Oryctolagus cuniculus: one gene and its partner. The main gene of each other region encodes a partner of the protein of the gene in region 2 in a complex. Links are inferred from orthologs where the notes say so. Each region holds a gene or a part of one and is shown on either strand. Other genes may lie near its edges.

The links. Proteins that work in one complex are often made in the same cells at the same time.
Region 1: the proteins of PLOD3 (region 2) and COLGALT1 are in contact, whole or in part, in a cryo-EM structure (PDB 8ZGE), measured with the Homo sapiens proteins. The link is inferred for Oryctolagus cuniculus from reciprocal best matches to the Homo sapiens genes PLOD3 and COLGALT1. Residues at the interface, in NP_001075.1 of Homo sapiens: Leu226, Val229, Val230, Leu231, Lys232, Phe233, Asp234, Arg235, Arg241, Gln261, Tyr264, Leu265, Pro275, Gly430, Ala431, Leu432, Arg440, Glu442, Glu446, Arg452; in NP_078932.2 of Homo sapiens: Ala36, Tyr37, Phe38, Pro39, Glu40, Glu41, Arg42, Trp43.

The regions. Positions count from the first base shown.
Region 1 is NC_091447.1:65,369,619-65,373,118, reverse strand, and holds the end of COLGALT1 (procollagen galactosyltransferase 1), read right to left. Parts: intron 2,313-3,500; coding exon 2,106-2,312; intron 1,557-2,105; coding exon 1,289-1,556; 3' UTR 328-1,288; downstream 1-327. UniProt on the Homo sapiens protein: Beta-galactosyltransferase that transfers beta-galactose to hydroxylysine residues of type I collagen. By acting on collagen glycosylation, facilitates the formation of collagen triple helix. Also involved in the biosynthesis of collagen type IV.
Region 2 is NC_091450.1:43,400,223-43,403,380, forward strand, and holds the end of PLOD3 (multifunctional procollagen lysine hydroxylase and glycosyltransferase LH3), read right to left. Parts: intron 3,157-3,158; coding exon 3,015-3,156; intron 2,923-3,014; coding exon 2,809-2,922; intron 2,711-2,808; coding exon 2,642-2,710; intron 2,386-2,641; coding exon 2,281-2,385; intron 1,880-2,280; coding exon 1,733-1,879; intron 1,422-1,732; coding exon 1,296-1,421; intron 948-1,295; coding exon 792-947; 3' UTR 501-791; downstream 1-500. UniProt on the Homo sapiens protein: Multifunctional enzyme that catalyzes a series of essential post-translational modifications on Lys residues in procollagen. Plays a redundant role in catalyzing the formation of hydroxylysine residues in -Xaa-Lys-Gly- sequences in collagens.

The sequences.
Region 1 (3,500 bases), on a different chromosome or scaffold from region 2:
GCTCCTCTCCTCGGGCGCTGTCGGCTCGTTGGCGCCGCCTGCAGGGCTCTTCCCCAGCTGCATCTCATTTCCTCCCCTTCCCAGGGCTCACGTCTGGACACTCTGCAGTCCCCCTCCTGGGGTGTTTTGGGGGAGCCCACGCCAGGACAGCCCCCTCCTCGTTCACTCATTGGACGCCCCTCCCGCTGGACCAACAAGGCAGAGGGGGCTCTGGGATCGCCCCAGTTACGTGGGGGGACGTTTATGGGGTGTGCGGGGACCTGGAACCCCGTGCAGCCCGCGGTGAGGGGTGGGGAGGGGGCTTTGGCAGCCACGCAGACCACAGAGTTTGGTTAAAACCAACCCGAAACATTTAATAAAAAAATAAGCAAGTTATCCAGGTCTGCCCAGCACACCGAGGTCTCCCGGAGCGGGTGGAGGCCGGGTCGTCGGCTCCGGGCTGGGCCCCCCGAGCACGCGGCCGCGGCAGAGGCCAGCACGGAGGCACCGCGCCAAGCAGGCAGGGGCCGCACCTGAGACCAGGGCGGGGCAAGGGAGACCCGGCCTCCCGCCCCACCCCGGGCCCCCTCTGGCGCGGGCCCGCGGCTGCCCCCTGCAGTGGAACAAGGACCCTCGGAGGGCACACAGCTCAGCTCGGGAGGGGAGGGGGGCCCGTGAAGCCTGGCACACAGGGGGAGCCCAGGACATCCGGGGAGCCACCGCGCCCCTTTCCCCAACCCAGCACTGGGCGTGTGGCCCGGCGAGCAGGTGCCGACACCGGGGACACTGGCTCCCGCCTCTGTGTCCCCGCGGCTCGCGGCAGTGCGGGTGCGCGACAGGCACCTTGCTGTGCTCCAGCCCGAGCGCCTCGCTCAGATCCGGCACACAGCAGGCGCTCAACCCATGCGCGAGTGTGCTGAGCGCGCCGTGGGTGCTCGAAGGCTTCAGGAAGTGAACGTAACCGCCCAGAGGCCGGCAGGGCGCCTAGCGGGGCAGCCACTCGCAAACCCGGGGCGTGAGGTCATTCAAGCAAAGCGCTCGGCCCGGGGCCAGCGCTGCGCCCCTCCATGGAGTCCCGGTACACACAGGCGCCTAATGATTGCAGCTTGGCCCCGCCCAGCCCCCCATGCCAAGCCCTGTCCCTCCCTGGTACACAGTAGGCACTCCATTCATGCTGCTTGCGTGCAAGTGACTGCGTGGAGAGCCGTGTGTGGCCCGGCCCGGGGGACAGCAGGTGGCCCCAGCGGACGCCCCGGGGGGCAGCAGGTGGCCCCAGCAGACGCGGACGCGGACGCCCCGGCCGGCGCCCTCAGAGCTCGTCCCGGGCGGCGCTGTCCAGCGGGGACTGCAGCACGTCCGAGTTCTTGGCCTCGCGGCTCAGCGCCTGCTGCTCCCGCATCTTCTGGGACTTGGCGCGGTCCCAGTCGGTCTTCACGCGCTCGTCGTTCCACACCACCGAGGTCTCCGTGTCGCTCACGTAGCCGTCGTCCCCCGTGTAGTGCGTGGGGTACACGAGCAGCGGCTCCACGGAGAAGGCGCGCAGGTCGCGGCGCGAGAAGTGGGCCTTGTACTCGGACCTGGGGGGAGGGGCGGCAGTGAGGAGGGGGCGGGGACTGGGAGGGGCGGCAGTGAGGCGGGGGCGGGGACTGGGAGGGGCGGCAGTGAGGCGGGGGCGGGGACTGGGAGGGGCGGCAGTGAGGCGGGGCGGGGCAGTGAGTCAGGGCGGGGTAATGAGTTGGGGGCGGGGACAGGGCAGAGGCGGCAGTGAGGCGGGGGCGGGGACAGGGGAGGGGCGGCAGTGAGGCGGGGCGGGGCAGTGAGTCAGGGCGGGGTAATGAGTTGGGGGCGGGGACAGGGCAGAGGCGGCAGTGAGGCGGAGGTGGGGCAGTGATTGGGGGTCAGGGACGCAGGAAGGGCGGTTGTGCAGGAGGGGAGGGGCGGAGTCACAGGTAGGGAGAGGGGCGGGGCAGTGAGTGGGGGCGGGGACACAGGGGGCAGCCACTGTGCAGGCGCAGCAGCACTCGGGGAGGCAGAAGGGGCGGCCCCGACGTGGGCGGGGCCGGCACGGGAGGAGGCAGAGACGCCCAGGACCCGGCCCGGCCCGCCCAGCCCCGCGAGCCCCTCACACTGGGTGCTTGTCGAACATGACGGGCAGGAACTCGTCCACGGGCAGCATCTTGGAGAGCGGCTGGGCGGCCAGCAGCTTGCGGGCGCCTTGCAGGGAGATGACGTAGGCGAGGGTCCAGTAGGAGTAGTCGGCCTCCACCAGGTTCCTCACGCGGGGCACGGCCTTCTCGGGCTGCTCCACCTGCATCCGCTTCCGGCCCACGTAGCTGCGGCGCAGGAACGGGGACGTGAGCCCAGGCCCTGGGGTGGGTGCCGCCTCGGCCGGAGCGGGAGCCACACGGGGCCGGTCTACAGCCAGGCCCCACCCCCACACTCAGGCCACGCCCACAGGCTGCCAGCTCCAATCTCCCCCACATCCCAGCTCCAGGAGCCGCAGTCGGGCCTGCAGGCTGCACTCCAGGTCTCCGGATTCCCCTGTCACCCTTGCAGGGCACCAGCCCACAGGCCATGCCCCTGACGGTGCTCACAGGCCCAGGGACCCCGTGAGCCCTCTGCCCGGCTCCTGAGAGTTTGTGATGATGCGCTAGGTCACGGCTGTGTCCCGGCCACGCCCCCATGTCTGACCACACCCCCAGAGGCGGGGCTCATGCTCAAGCCCCAGACCAAGCCTCTTGACCAGGCCACGCCCCCAGGTCCCACCATTGGCCATGGCCACACCCCTAGGTCCCTATTCTTTGCTCCAGCAAAACTCCAGGCCCTCCTGTCTGGGCCACACTTCCAGGTCCTATCTTGGCCCCAGCCATACATACCCTAGGTCCTACCCCTTGGACCTGACCACGCCCCCAGGTCCCACTTCTTGACTCTGATCATGCCTCTTGGCCCTGACCAAGCCCCCAAAGTTCCACTTCATAGTCCAGGCCATGTCCCCGGCCACGCCCCAGGTCCCTCCTCCTGGCCCCAGCCACACCTCCAGGCCCAGGTCACGCCCAGGGTAATGCCTCCTGGCCCCGGCCACGCCCCAGCCATGCCCCAGGTCCCTCCTCCTGGCCCGGGTCACGCCCCAGGCCCCGCCTCCTTCCTGGCCCCAGCCCACAGGTCCTGTCTTTGCTCCAGCAATACCCCAGCCACGCTTCAGGTTCCTCCTCCTGGCCTGGGTCACTCCCCAGGTCCCGCCTCCTTCCTGGCCCCAGCCACACCCCAGGTCCCTCCTCCTGGCTCGGGTCACGCCCCAAGTCCCACTTCCCGGTCCAGGCCACACTAACAGGTCCTATCTTGGCTCCAGCCACGCCCCAGGTCCCTCCTCCTGGCTCGGGTCACGCCCCAAGTCCCACTTCCCGGTCCAGGCCACACTAACAGGTCCTATCTTGGCTCCAGCCACGCCCCAGGTCCCTCCTCCTGGCCTGGGTCACTCCCCAGGTCCCGCCTCCTTCCTGGCCCCAGCCACACCTCCAGGC
Region 2 (3,158 bases):
CACCGCCCTCCTGCCAGGGGGCTCCAGCTGGGGAGGGGGAAGGGTCCGGAACCAACAAAACGCCCTGGGCCAGGTGGCGTCAAGGCCTCTAGCAGGGAACAGAGAGGAGATCCAGGGGCAGCCCCCAGGGAGCCGCAAGGGCTTGGGGGTCTCCCAGAGGCTGGAAGGAGCCCTGCTCTCAGGTCTCTCCTCCTCTCACAGCCCCCTCTGCCAGGAAGCTCTCCAATGATGACCCTGCAGGGAATCCCGTTCCCTGGTCATGCCCAGGTTCAAGTTTAGGTCCAGAGCACGTGCGTGTCCAGGGGGCAGCTCCTGTGCCAGTGCCGTCCTTGGCTCCTGCACCCATCCTTGGGGAGGTCAGGGGCCTGCGTGGGGCTGGGGCCTCCACCTGAACCGGCAGGTACAGCCTTTCCCGCGCTCTGCCCGCAGTGCTGGGCAGGGGACAGGGTGGCGGGCAGGAACAGGACCAGACAAGGGGGGATGACAGACAACCCACGGACTCAGAGTTACAAATCCTCCTTTAGTGGGAGGGAACAGTCTCAATAATTTATCACCCAGGGCACCCCCAGGAGACCCTTTCCCCAGGAGCCCTTGCGGGCTCTAGGGAGGGGGCTGTGTCTGGGCAGGGTGGGGGCGGGGGAGGTGCACGACACGATCAGTCCCAGGCACGCTCAGCACACATTCAGGACGCGGGGAGACCGGCGGCCGCCCCTTTCCGGCGGCTGGGGCTGCGGCTGGGGCTCCCCTGAGAAGGCACCATGGCAGTGAAGGTTTGGCACAGTGGTTGCGTGTCAGGGGTCGACAAAGGACACCATGATATAGCGGGTGCCCCGAGTGGTGGGCAGCCCCTCGTGGTAGTGGGTGAGGCGGCCGGGGTGCAGGAGCCCCCAGCCCTTCCGCGGGGCCGAGATCACGCAGTCGTAGCGCAGGAAGCGGCAGCCGCCACCCTGGTGGGGGGAGTGAGAAAGGAGCAGGCGAGGGGGCTGAGCACACACCTGAGCTGTGGGGGTGGTGCCACACGGGGGGGGGGGGGCATCTGCGGGAAGGGGGCAGGAAGGCACGGGGTGGGGGTGGCAGGAGCTCCAGGTAAGGGTCCCCCCCACCAGGGCATAGGGCATGCACATGGGGAGGAAGGCACGGGGTGGGGGTGGCAGGAGCCCTGGGTAAGGGTCCCCCTGTCCCGGGCGTGCACGTGGGAGGAAGGCACGGGGTGGGGAGGTGGCAGGAGCCCTGGGTAAGGGTCCCCCCGCCCCAGGGCATGCACGTGGGTGTGTGCTGACGGGGGAGGGGCTCACCTCATAGTCCAGGCCCTTGTGGTTAAGGGCCACGTTGAGGGTGAAGGTGGAGGAGTCGTGATGTGGCCGCAGAGAGGGCTGCTCGTCCGGCCGATAGCGAACCACGAAGTTCATCACCGCCCGGGCCTGCAGGTGCAGAGAGCAGAGGATGGGGGGAGGGGCTGCTGGGGAGAGCACAGCACCCCCCCACACACACACACACCTCGAGACCCCCAAGGTCTCACTGCTAACTGGCGCCGCGGCTAAGCCACGATGCACCCCGGGTCTCGGCCTGCCTACTTCTGGCCCGGTCCCTGTCCCCGCTCCCCGTCTCATTCCTGGGACCTGGATTCCACAGAACCTTAGACACGGGAGCTGATGGGGCTCTGGGTGGCCACTGGCAGGCTGGGGCAGAGGTGGCGGTGGCAGGGGCGGTGAGGGCAGCCGCAGCGGCCTACCTTGGTGTGGTAGCCCGGAAACAGGCTCTCGGTCATGGGGCCCACGTAGGTCCTCAGCAGCTGCAGCCACTGGTCCTCGTAGCCCACCTGCTTCATGTGGATGTCCACGGTGGGCACATTCTCGTAGCCTCCGGCCAGCCTTGAATCCTGGGGGCAGTGGACGCTGAGCCGGGGCCCCTCCGCGCCCCGCCCGGGCCAGGCCCCCTCCCCCATGCTCCCAAGTCTTCACACGCTTGCTCTCCGTGCCTGGAGCACTCCTTCCCTACTTCCTGATTTCACAGCTCCCATGAAGCCCTCCTGTCCCCCCAGGCAGGGACAAGGGCTGCCCGTCCCAGCCTCTGGAAGCTGGGCAGCTGCTGCTCGGGACAGGAGGGCAGAGCCTGCCCTGCCTGGCGCCTCGCTGCACCTGCACGTCCTGGCCAACGGCCCAGTGACGTTTCCTCGATGCAGGCGTACTGCCTGGGGCTCACTTCCCCGTGTGTCCCCCCCATCCATTCCATCGCCCCCGGTCTCAGCGTCCCCTCCTCCCGGGAGGCCTGGACCCTCACCTCATGCCGGCCTCCTGACCACTGGCCGTAGTGCTCCATCTCTTCCACCAGCTCGTCACACATCTGCTCTGACAGCAGCGGGAACCAGTAGACATCCGGGCACGGCTGGGGTGGGGCGGGGAAAGGAGGAGCAGCGCTGGGGTGGGTGCTCACAGAGCAAAGGCAGAGGGGGAGAGGGAGGAGAGGCTGGGGCAGAGCAGGGCGGCCTGCGGGTCCGGGAGCCCCAGGTTCCCACCCCTCCACAACAGGCACCTCTTTTTGACATCCTAGTTTCACCCATAAACCGATCGCTACGCCCCGGACACAGAGGAGGTCGCGCGGGCTGGAGCCCCGTCGGCTCGACTGCTGCCACAGGACTCACCTGCTCCACCATCCCGTCCCCTTCCAGGGCCCTGCTATAGTTCTCGTGGATGTACTGCTCCTTCCAGTCCTGGGGGGGCAGGATGGGGTGACACAGAGGATGGGGGGGACCCTGAGATGCGGCCCAGGCAGCCCCCGCCGCCTCCTCGGCTGCCGGCCCCCACTCACCACAGGGTTGTCGAAGATCTGCCACAGGTCGGGGTGCAGGTGGTCCGTGTCGTAGCGGGACGTGGCCAGGAGGCGGCCAAACTCATGCCGGTTGCTGAGGTGCAGGAAGATGCCCTGGGTGGGGGCGGGGCGGCGAGCACGCGTGAGAAGGGCGCTGGCCACGGCAGCGGGCGGCCGGCCCCCGGCACCCGCCCGCCAGCCCTCACCTGGTCACGCAGGCTCTTACAGAAGGCCATGTCCGGGTCGGTGTCGCTGCTCGAGAACACCTCTCTCTGGGGCAGCTCGGTCCGCAGGGTCTCCCCGCGGATCACGTAGGCCTGGGCTATGTAGGGCACATTCCACACGCCCCT